Canis lupus familiaris: one gene and its partners. The protein of the gene in region 2 interacts with the protein of the main gene of each other region in a biochemical or structural test. Links are inferred from orthologs where the notes say so. Each region holds a gene or a part of one and is shown on either strand. Other genes may lie near its edges. The genes, in order: NR0B2, EID1 and FBXO21.

Region 1 (3,750 bases), on a different chromosome or scaffold from region 2:
CCACCTCCACTTGGGACGCCAATGGACCAATGACCTGCTGACAGCTTGAGCAGACCCTTACACCTCTCCTTTGGACTTCCCCAACCGAACCCAATGCCCTTCAAACCCCAGAGGAGGAAGTCACCTTTGACTGGTCGAATTGCAATCCTTCCTTTGCATAGTGAGGGTCACTCTGACTGGTTGGATTGCAATCCTTCCTTTGCATATGAGCCAACCAATAGGAAACCGTTCTGCCTTACAACGTTATGTAAACCCCCTACCACCTTGTCTTGGCGCGACTTCCTCGACTCACTCTCTTTCCCCCGTGAGTCGTGGAACCTCGCCCGAGGGTGCCTGCAATAAAATCTGTTCTTGGACCCTCGCTTGCCTTGGCGGTCTCATTTCCATCTAGTTACTAAAAAACTTAACATGACCTTGGGCAAGTCACTTCACCTCTTTCAGTTTCAAAAAGTAAGAATTTTGCCTCATGGGGAAGCTCTGAGTATTAGAATGGAAAGTGCCTAGCACACAGTAGGTGCTCAATAAATAGCAGCCAAACTTTATTCTCATTCTGTGAGGGCTTCTCAGCAGAGACAGCCTTTTGGGAACTTTAGAAATCCAGGCTAAGGAGAGAGAAGTTCTTAGGTACCTTATTTCTGGAGGGGCCCCAGAACTGAGTCGGGAGAGGGAGGCCTCCTGGCCTGCACAGTGGGCAAAGTCCTTCCAGCCCCCCAGGGTCCTGGCTCCGTTCCCGCAGCCTGTTCCTTACCAACAACAGGAGCAGAGCCCCAAGGTTAGGCAAACAAGTCCCTGATAAGGCACTTCCAGGTTGGGCCTTGCATTCAAGGCTCGTCCAGCTCCGGGGCTGGCCTCCCAGCTTAGCGCCAGTCTTGCAGGCACCAATAGGGACACCTGCAATGGCCACCTGCTGATTGTGCACCTGAGGCCTTGGTGCCTCGGTACAGCCTGGGTTAATGACCCTGTTTATCCACTTGAGTCATCTGATAAGGGGCAGCCGGGCCAGCGGGCAGGCAGCCTTGTGCCCTGCACAGGCTGCTTCATTGACTGAAGTGATATCAGGGCCACGTGGAACTCCCAAAGCCCCCTCCCCCGCCACTTCCCCACCAATCCTGCAGGGTCAGTGCGTGTTTTTTTTTTTCAATGAACATGACTTCTGGAGTCAAGGTTGTCAGGCCGTCCCTCCTGCCCCCACCCACCGTCCCTCCCACTGGGGGAATATAAATAGCACCCAGCACACAGCAGAGGGCAGAAGCGGGAGAGCTGGGAGGAAGAAGGAGCAGATCCCCAACCATGAGCTCCAGCCAGCCAGGGACCTGCCCGTGTCAGGGTGCTGCAGGCCGCCCAGCCATTCTCTATGCACTTCTGAGCCCCAGCCTCACGGCCAGGCCCCCAGTGCCCCCGGTTCAGAGTCGCTGCTTGTGCAGACAGCACCGGCCCGTCCGGCTGTGTGCCCCGCATCGCACCTGCCGGGAGGCCTTGGATGTTCTGGCCAGGACAGTAGTCTTCCTCAAGAACCTGCCGTCCTTCTGCCAGCTGCCCCCTCAAGATCAGCAGCTGCTGCTGCGGGTCTGCTGGGGCCCCCTCTTCCTGCTGGGGTTGGCCCAAGACACTGTGACTTTCGAGGTGGCTGAGGCGCCGGTTCCCAGCATACTCAAGAAGATCTTGCTGGAGGAGCCCAGTAGTGGTGCACACAGCGGCCAGCTGCCCGATCGGCCCCAGCCCTCACTGGCTGCCGTACAGTGGCTTCAGTGCTGCCTGGAGTCCTTCTGGAGCCTGGAGCTGGGCCCCAAGGAATACGCCTACCTGAAAGAGACCATCCTCTTCAATCCTGGTGAGCTTCCAGACATTCCTGGATGGGGACCCAGGCAGGGAAGGCATCTTCTAAGGGCTTGACACCCGTTTTCTCTTTGGGTCCTCATTATCCCCAAAAGTCACCTCCCAGAGAGGTTAAGTGTTTTGCTGAAGGTCACACAGCCTCGGTAGGGGCAAAGCAGGGATGGGAACTCAGGTTTATTCCCTCCAGAGACTGGTCCATGCCACTCTGCCTAAGAAACTTGCCCTGACTGTCAGGGAAGGTGAGCAGACACAACTCTGCCTCTGTCACAGGTAAAACCCTGTGGGTTCAGAAAGACCCCATGGAGAAGAATGAAAATGTGAGATGAGAATTCCTCATCAAAAAGCCCTCGTAGAATGCATAAATGATGGTAATTAATTATAGTGATAGTAATGAATATTCATATTACATTTACCATATATTAGGCCCAATTATAAGGGTTTTGAATATACTAGCTGACTTAAACTTCATAACATGCCTAGGAGATAGGTATTATTATCCCCATTTTACAGATGAGAAAACTGAGGCACAGATATTAACATATCTGAGGTCATACAGCCAGTGAGTGACAGCATGGGATTCAAACCCGGGCTGCCTGGCTCTTAACCATTACTCTGGGCTGCCCCATAAATGGATGGATAAATAAAGTGATAAACACATAAATGGAGGAGGTAGTAATGGGGCCTCAAAGGCCAAGCCAGTGACCTCCGGTCTTGGGCCAATATTGCTGCCTGGGAGTGGGGTACTCACCCGCCCTCTTCACCCTCTCTGCCCACAGGCTTGCCAGGCCTCCACGCCTCCTCCCACATCGGACACCTGCAGGAAGAGGCTCATCATGCGCTATGTGAGGCCCTGGAGCCCTGGTGCCCAGCAGGCCAAGGCCGCTTGGCCCGTGTCCTCCTCACAGCCTCCACCCTCAAGTCCATCCCGCCCAGCCTCCTTGGGGACCTCTTCTTCCGCCCTATTGTTGGAGACATTGACATCGCTGGCCTCCTTGAGGACATGCTTTTGTTGAGCCAACCTGTTCCAGCCCAGGCAGAGATCAAGTGGAGGTTGGGCAAAGGCTGGCAGCACTGATTTGGCCCAGCTGTCCCCAGGGCTACCTGTTGCCCCCAGAGGGAGCAAGTTTGTACAGGCAGCACTCAGCCTCCCTGGAACAAGCCTGTCCTGCCCCAGAGAGATGGGCTAGGGGCACCCCCCACCTCACTCACCACACGGCCCCCACTGGCCTTTCTTGGTTTGACATGGCGCTCCAGCTGTCTGGAACTGGAGTGGTCCTCTGGCTTCTGGGCTAAGACTCCTGACCCCTTCTGAGATGGGGATGGCAGTTAGGTTGCTCAATGGGACAAGTCCTACTGACTTTGTACAGAAATGATTTAAGTTATTGGTTTTTGTAATAAAAGGCATGATACCCTTGGAGCCTGACACTGTAATTTGTACATGGAAGGGACTGTCCCACCTCCAGGGCCCACTCTGCCACTATCAGGAGTTCAGGAGGAAGGAATCATAAGGAGTGCTGGAGCCAGCCCTCAGGGAACTGGGATATTAATTTTTCAGGGCAGGATGATTATTTCATCTTGAGGGATGAGATTTATTTTGCACAGGGACTAGGATCAGTTCAGGCCCCCTTACTTCCTTGCCTTTATCTTTAGGGCTGAGAGTGTCTCTTCTTGATCCCCTTGTGGGGATCGCTAACCCCTCTCTTGGCTTCTGAGCCATACAGGCTCCCTCTCACCTCAACAAAAGTCAGATCACAGCCAGTAAGGAATATGAAGCAGCCCATTCTCAAATTTAAACAGGCAAGGTCAAGGTCACGGGAATTTCTGCAGTTTGGGATCATTCACTTGCCCATTCCTGCAGATGACAGTAGAAGACAGTCCACTGCTGTCCCAATGGGAGGGGCAAGGGAACCCAGG
Region 2 (3,482 bases):
GTTTCAGTAACTATGGTCACCCTCGCCAGTCCTCTACTTTATGTAAAAGGACCCCCGCCCCCCACCCATAAGAGGCAAGATGACTGTAACTGAGGCTGAGCTGTGGTATTGTACTGGATGTGTCCTTTAGTGCCATAAGGGGCAGGAACATCCAGTACTTTTATTGATCATCAGACCTACTAATATACTGTTTTACTGGGCACAGCTTTCTGACAGAATTACTACTATTCTTATACAACTTCAGAACCTTAATAACCACAGCAACATGCTCACCTTAATAGGACAGGTTTTCTCAGGCTGGCAAATTCTTTCATAGGAATTTGCCAAGTTTAATATCCACAAGTTAATTTATAAATCAGTTACTTGAAGCTGGAGCACTTTCCCATGTAGTGGTTAAATGTGAATCATAAAGTGGTTTCAATGATAAAATAAAATAGCACAATACAATAAAATAATAGTGTTTAGATAAAGTATGGGAACAATATTCTTGGCCAAACAAACAAAATACACAGAACAAGAAATTTTATTATCTCGAATGCTGGTGCATAACCAATGACAAGCGTAATTAGAGGAGGAGACAGAGGGAAACTTCAGATACTGAGGTGGATTTCTGGGCAGGTTTTAAAACCTTTTAAGGGTTGAGGGCATAATTGTTCAGTCTTTCTTTTTGGATGTAGGGCTTTCCTTTTACTTGACATTTTCACTTTAACAGTTCTTATATTATGAAGTTCAACCAAAGTCCTTCACCTGTAAGTTAAATGAAAAACAAAGAGAGCAAGTAAAACAACTTCTCTAGTATGTAAGAGTATCAGAAATAGTCTGTTCTTTCACATACATTTTAATGTCTAACTTTGAAATTACGGACGTCTTAATTTTTGAGTTTTAAAAATGGCAAGACAAATTTTCTTGAATTATGGATCATAGTAGCTTTATAAATGATCAAGATACACGTACAAACAAAATTTCAGATGCTCTTGAAAACACATTTTGAGATAGATCACACATGATACATATTTCTTCTTGGGTTTATCTTTTTGGGATAGTGAAGAATACCCAATTTTTTTTTTTTTTTTTTTTTTTTTACACTAAAAATTTAGCCTTTGAACACTGGCTTGGACAGACCACAAAGTGGAACCTCCAGAGTTCTCTCAGTAGGCTTTCAGTCCAAACGATTCAGACATCTTGTGTCCTAAATTGGATGTTACTACTTTTTCTCACGTAATTGGTATCAGTGGGGGTCTTGTACTGGCGGTTTGTCTTGGTCATAACTTATTCTTGCAAAACCATTCCTTATAGTGAAATATAGGAGAGGTATTTTCCCCAAATGCAAGGAAAATAACCGGGATCAGTAACAAAGTCTAAGCGGCAGGTGTTTCAGGAACATTCTTGAAAACAGATTTCCACAGTCCTGATACGTTTCTTCTTCTTCTCCAACAATGCTTTCATAAGAGCGCAGTCACTGCCCTATTCTACTCTGCACGACAACAACAAAAATTTTCTTTGAAGATCGACTTTTTTCCCTTGGCACCGTTACTATCTATCTGGAATGAGCCCAAAAGACCGTGGAATGTCGGGTCTCTCCTCAAGTAGCTTCCTCCTCTTTTAACAGCGTGTAATCACTCTCTGTCAATAATCTCATCACAGCCGAGTTCTTCGGTCAGGCGATTGACAACCATAAGTGAAAAAAGCTCTTCGATGAAAGCCAACTGATCAAACGGGGTCTTCTCGTAATGCATTTGAAACCCGCCATCCAGGGCTGCTTCTCTGGCTCTGGATGTTCTCAGGAACATCTTGTTGGCTTCCTCCAGGGCCGCGGATACCCTGTAGCCGGCACCACTCAGTTGCTCCTCTTCCGGATAATCGTAGTCGTCCTCCCAGTCATCAAACTCCTCACCCTCGTCCTCGCTCTCGAAGTCAGGGCCGGCGAGCTGGCCCGGCTGCTCCCCCGGGCTGGGCCGGTGAGCAAGGCCTCGTTCCCCCTGCGGCTCCGCCATTGGCTGGGCCGCCTCCTCCTCCATCGGGCCTTCCTCCTCCAGCTGCGGCTGGGCCCCGTGGCGGGAGGGGTTCGGGGAGGGCTCCCGGCTCCCGCCGCCTACCTCCATCTGCGGAAGGTCACCCTCGCCGGGCATCACATCCATCTGCAGGTCATTGCTCTCTTCATACAGCTCGGACAGCTCGTTCATCTCCGACATCGTACTCGCGGCGCACCCTCTAGCCAGGCGTCCCTGCAGACGGAGCTACGCGGCCGGGCGGTTCTGCGCGTGCGCCGACGCCGCGCGCCTGCGTGACCCCGTGCGTCTGCGCGACCCCCGGACGCCGCCTCCCGGGTGCCCGTCGGGCGGGGGGGCCGACTCCTGCGGCGGGAGGGGCTCCCGTTCGCCGTCCGTTCCTGCTGCTTAGCGAGGCCCTGCGTTTAAGAGAGTCGCCTTATCTCCGCTTTGCTTAACCGTCCCGCTCCTTACGGTGCTGTAAACTTGGAGATACTTTACGTGGCCTCTGTTACGACGTTTCAGCCTCCCCCCTGCTCCCTCCCCCTCTCCCCATCTCCCCCTCCCTCCTCCCCCTCTTCCTCCTCCCCCTCTATCCCTCCCCCTCGCTCCCTCTTCCTCCCCCTCTCTCCCTCCTTCCCCCTCTCCCTTCCCCTTGCGCTCCCCTCGCTCCCTCCCCCCTCCCTCTCTCTTTCCCTCTCCCCCTCTCTCCCTCCCTCCCTCCCTCCTCCCCATCCCTCCTCCCCTTCCCTCCCCTAGACCCTCGCATCTGCACCTGTCGTCCATGCGCAGGGCTCCCGCATCCACACCGCCAAATCAGTGTTCTCAACCACAGACCAACATACTATGAACTGATCCATTCAGCTCTACTTCTGTTTCCCCCATTAAAAAAAAATAATAATAAATTCACAAACATATTATCTATCTTCGCTACATGCTGAAGAAGTACTTGACTCTATTTCCACAGGAGGTTAACTGTGGTCAGTTTCAGTGTGTATTCTTTAAATCCTTTTCCATTGCATTTGTCCTTTTCCTTTACAACCTCGTGCAAAAATCTTGTTCTGTGTGTGGGTTGTTTTTTGTTTTTGCATGTCTTACGTAACTGTCTTCAGATTACAAAACAAAAAGCCCCTCTGCAGTGTCTTGAAGGTTTAGCTTTGTTGGGGTACATAGATGAGTGGTGGTGGTGGTGGTGTGTGTGTGTGTGTACAGCATTTCATTTTATTTATTTTTTATTTTTTAGCATTTTATTTGTATAGCTATGCTGTTGTTGACCTAACTTTGCGCGCAAAATTTCCGATTTTTCAATATTATAAACTATGGGTAAATGACATCCATATACGCCAGTGTTTCTCTAGAATAAATAACCTAGAAGTGGGAAGGCATAATTGTAGGGTGTGCATACTTTAGTTTTTAATTCATGCTGTCAAACTGCTTCCCAAGATTGCTGTACAAATGTAACCTGTCCTCGGCAGTGTTTGAGAATATCTGTAT
Region 3 (3,650 bases), on a different chromosome or scaffold from region 2:
TATAAAACTTTATTGGAATTTGCATTTTTTCCTTAGAGGCACCATGTACGGGTAGAGAAAACTTACCTTGGAGTCAGACAGTTCTGTTGCTAGCCTCTCAGTCATTTCAATTCCACAGAGAGATGGTTTCTCCTTGCCCACTTGAATACACAGTCCCACTGGGAGTTAACAATCATTGAAACGATCATTGCGCTTCCAGAACCTGAGACACGTCTTCATCAGCATAGCTAATTTGCATCACTCAGGGGGCTTCTCTGTCACCCCTTCTGCCTTGTGCAGCAGAAGCAGCTCTGTCAGATGTCTCCTTGATCGGGACTGAAGCAGCTTAGCAGTTCTTTTACCTTCCAGTTGATGAGTGGCCAATGAAAATCATCTTTCTGGGTACGAAAAATGGATTCCCCACACTGAGCAAGAGTATTGGAACCCTTTAAAGTTCCCTAATCCAGTGGTCGCTTCGGCAGCACACATAATAAGATTGGAACGATACAGAGAAGATTAGCATGGCCCCTGCGCAAGGATGACACGCAAATTCGTGAAGTGTTAAAATAAATGAATGAATGAATGAATGAATGAATGAAAAGTTCCCTAATCCAGATGTACCCATGGAGGGCAGGCCCTGGCCACTTCATCCCATGCTTAGTCCCACACACTGTTTCTAAGTAATTCCTACGCTCCTACCAGTTGACTTTTGGAGGCCTGGGGCCATTGCCCACCATTAGCAGTGAGACCACCAACTCAGTGGATCCCTGGGCCACTAGCATGGCCCCACCTTGCCGTCCTTTGCCAGGTTATGTAGGCCTAAATCTCATGCTGTGAACAAGAAAAGGCCTAAATGAAAATATTATCTCCTAGTCTTTCTGTCTTGTCTTGAAGGTGCTTGACATCCTCCAGCACATTCAAACCCTAGACCCCGGGCAGCATGGGGCGGTGGGCTATCTGGTGCAGCACACCTTAGAGCACATTGAGCGCAAGAAGGAGGAGGTGGGCGTGGAGGTGAAGCTGCGCTCCCATGAGAAGCACAGAGACGTCTGCTACTCCATTGGGCTCATTATGAAGCATAAGAGGTGAGTGCCTGTGGAATCCATCCCCGCACCACTGCAGGGGATGCGTGGTGTGCCCGCAAGCACGCTTCTCAGGAGCCATGGCATCTGAGTGTCTGCCGCAGAAGCGACTGAAGGCTGAACCAGTCTGAACCAATTCTACGCTGTTTCCTAAGAAAGGGACTCACTTTCCTAACTGCGAATCTTCTAATGTAAGATCTGTAAGCAGCAGATTTTATCTCTCATTTTCTTGTTGCCCTGAGGCTTCTTTTCATTTCCATCCCCTTGAATCTGGGTTGTGGATAGGGTTTGCTGGGTTATAGGCACGTGTGTGTGGTCAATTGCTAGGCAAAATTAAACCATAACCACAGTGACCCTGTGATTTCTGTCCCACTCCGCAGGCTAGGAGCCGAGGGTTGCAGGGTTTCTGTTCTCACCCACCTGTGTTCTTGCCACACCTTTGAAAGTGCTCTTAAACAGCAAATGGCAAATAGTATTTCATTGTGATTTTTGTTTGCATTCTCCCAATTAGTCTGCAGATCGACTAGTAAACCTACAAAAAAGAAGTTCATTCAGGTTTTCTCTTCTGAAGTACCTCTTCAAACATTCTTATTTTCTACCCGAACTATTTGTCTGTCTTGTTGGTTTGTGGTCTCCTTGTCCTGCTACTAGTATCTCTATGCATATACGTTGCAAATAATCTTGTCCCAGTTTGGGGTTAGTGTGTTTCATTTTTTTATTGCATTCTTTTTTTTTTTCCTCCAACCTCATTATGGACATTTCAAATACACGTCAGTGGAGATGAGTATAGTGAACCAGGCGATGCTCCCATACCCAGCTCCAGCAGTTGTGAGGGTCAGCCTTCACATTTTCACCCCCTATCCCTACCCAAGCCCCTTGCAGTATGTGTACCTGAAAGGTAAGGGCTTGCTATATTTTTTAAAAGTGTTTACTATCTTCTTGTAGTATCTAAGGAAAAACAATTTCTTCACCTCACCATATCAGTATAGTCAGAATTCCTGTTGCCCTGTTTTTTTTTTTTTTTGTTTTAACAATCTGCTTGAATCTGACTCCTTTGAGTTTACTCTTTGCCTTTATGGACTGTTTTTCGTCCCTGGTTTGAGGAATCTTAAACCTGTCCTATTTCATGAAGTTATCTTAGGAATTCTATGTTTTATATATAGGCCTTTGTCCTACTAAGATACTGTGCATTGCTCTCAGGCCTGGGTCCCAATACCCTTTTCCGTTTGGATAACTACTTGACCCATGATGGTTGGTTGAAGTCTGTTCTTTTCCAACTGAAATGGTATCTTAATAATAAGAGGACCTTATAAAGGGAGCTAAGAGTGTCCTGAAAAATGCTTAATAGGGATAAAAGCAGGTAAATTTGTAAGGACATAACCTTAAGAGAACCAAGCCATTACTTACATATCCCAGAGTCTCTGTGACAGGGTCCCAGGGAACTGATTTGCCACTGCTCTTATATTGATTAGGTATGGCTATAACTGTGTGATCTATGGTTGGGACCCCACCTGCATGATGGGACACGAATGGATCCGAAACATGAACGTCCACAGCCTGCCTCATGGCCATCATCAGCCTTTCTATAATGTTCTGGTGGAGGACGGTTCTTGTAGATATGCAGCCCAAGGTAAGGAGCTAGTTCTGTGTGTATTCATAATGACACGCCGGCACATCTTAGCACACATTTTGAGTGTTCTGATACTGTGGGTACAGTCACTGATTTTATTTAGAGATGGCAGTTGTGTGGCTAACCTTATCAGGGCCGATTCTCAGCTAAATGTGGGTAGGTGTGCCCCTGTGTGGCCATGCAGTGGGTTAAATAGTCCCCGCCTTCAGACTCTTCCCTCCATCACCCCCACACCCAGGACCCTGTTCCAGTGTTGTTGCCAGCCTCTGTTCTGATTGGTCATTGACTTTGCCAGTCAAGTTCCCGAAAGTCATGCTTCCCAAGCCCTACCATTGGCTCCCTCCAGGCAGTGAGGGCCAGCCTGTGCCCTGCCCATATGGCCTGTCTGAACTGGAGGACACTGTTGTGGGGACTACCCTAGCTGCCTCCGGCATCCATAGCCAGCTGTGAGCCCCAGAGATGTCCTAGAGTGGCCACAAGGGGAACCACAATCCACAGCACTGGCTCTGAGAGCCTTGATGGTCAGCAGGTGCATGGTGGTGTTTGGGGCCACTGCCAGCCCTGATAGGCGCTAGTCCAGGGCACTCCTGAAGTAGGACGGTTGGAGCCTGCAGAGGCCGATTAGAGACAGATGCCTCCAGTATGGGTCTCCCTTTTCTTTGTTCCTCCTTTTAATGGGATGAATTTATTGCATGGCTGCCTGTCAAGGCATTCACAGCTTTCATTTTGTTAGTCAAAATGAACATGAGTGAGGGACACCTGGCTGGTTCATTTGGAAGAGCATGTGACTTTTTTTTTTTTTTTTTTTTTTTAAGATTTTGTTTGTTTATTCATGACAGACAAAACACAGAGAGAGAGAGAGGCAGAGACACAGGCAGGGGGAGAAGCAGGCTCCATGCAGGGAACCTGACATGGGACTCCATCCTGGGTCTGCAGGATCACACCCTGGGCTGAAGGGG

What was found.
Region 1: the proteins of EID1 (region 2) and NR0B2 form a complex in vitro, tested with the Homo sapiens proteins (3 studies listed by BioGRID). The link is inferred for Canis lupus familiaris from reciprocal best matches to the Homo sapiens genes EID1 and NR0B2.
Region 3: of the proteins of EID1 (region 2) and FBXO21, one has a biochemical effect on the other in vitro, tested with the Homo sapiens proteins (2 studies listed by BioGRID, with this or other methods). The link is inferred for Canis lupus familiaris from reciprocal best matches to the Homo sapiens genes EID1 and FBXO21.

What each region holds. Positions count from the first base shown.
Region 1 is NC_049223.1:72,630,673-72,634,422, forward strand, and holds NR0B2 (nuclear receptor subfamily 0 group B member 2), read left to right. Parts: upstream 1-1,228; 5' UTR 1,229-1,290; coding exon 1,291-1,831; intron 1,832-2,612; coding exon 2,613-2,911; 3' UTR 2,912-3,253; downstream 3,254-3,750. UniProt on the Homo sapiens protein: Transcriptional regulator that acts as a negative regulator of receptor-dependent signaling pathways. Specifically inhibits transactivation of the nuclear receptor with which it interacts.
Region 2 is NC_049251.1:15,392,509-15,395,990, reverse strand, and holds EID1 (EP300-interacting inhibitor of differentiation 1), read right to left. Parts: upstream 2,400-3,482; 5' UTR 2,193-2,399; coding exon 1,617-2,192; 3' UTR 506-1,616; downstream 1-505. UniProt on the Homo sapiens protein: Interacts with RB1 and EP300 and acts as a repressor of MYOD1 transactivation. Inhibits EP300 and CBP histone acetyltransferase activity.
Region 3 is NC_049247.1:14,069,708-14,073,357, reverse strand, and holds part of FBXO21 (F-box only protein 21), read left to right. Parts: intron 1-445; exon of another isoform or gene 446-552; intron 553-852; coding exon 853-1,064; intron 1,065-2,533; coding exon 2,534-2,691; intron 2,692-3,650. UniProt on the Homo sapiens protein: Substrate-recognition component of the SCF (SKP1-CUL1-F-box protein)-type E3 ubiquitin ligase complex.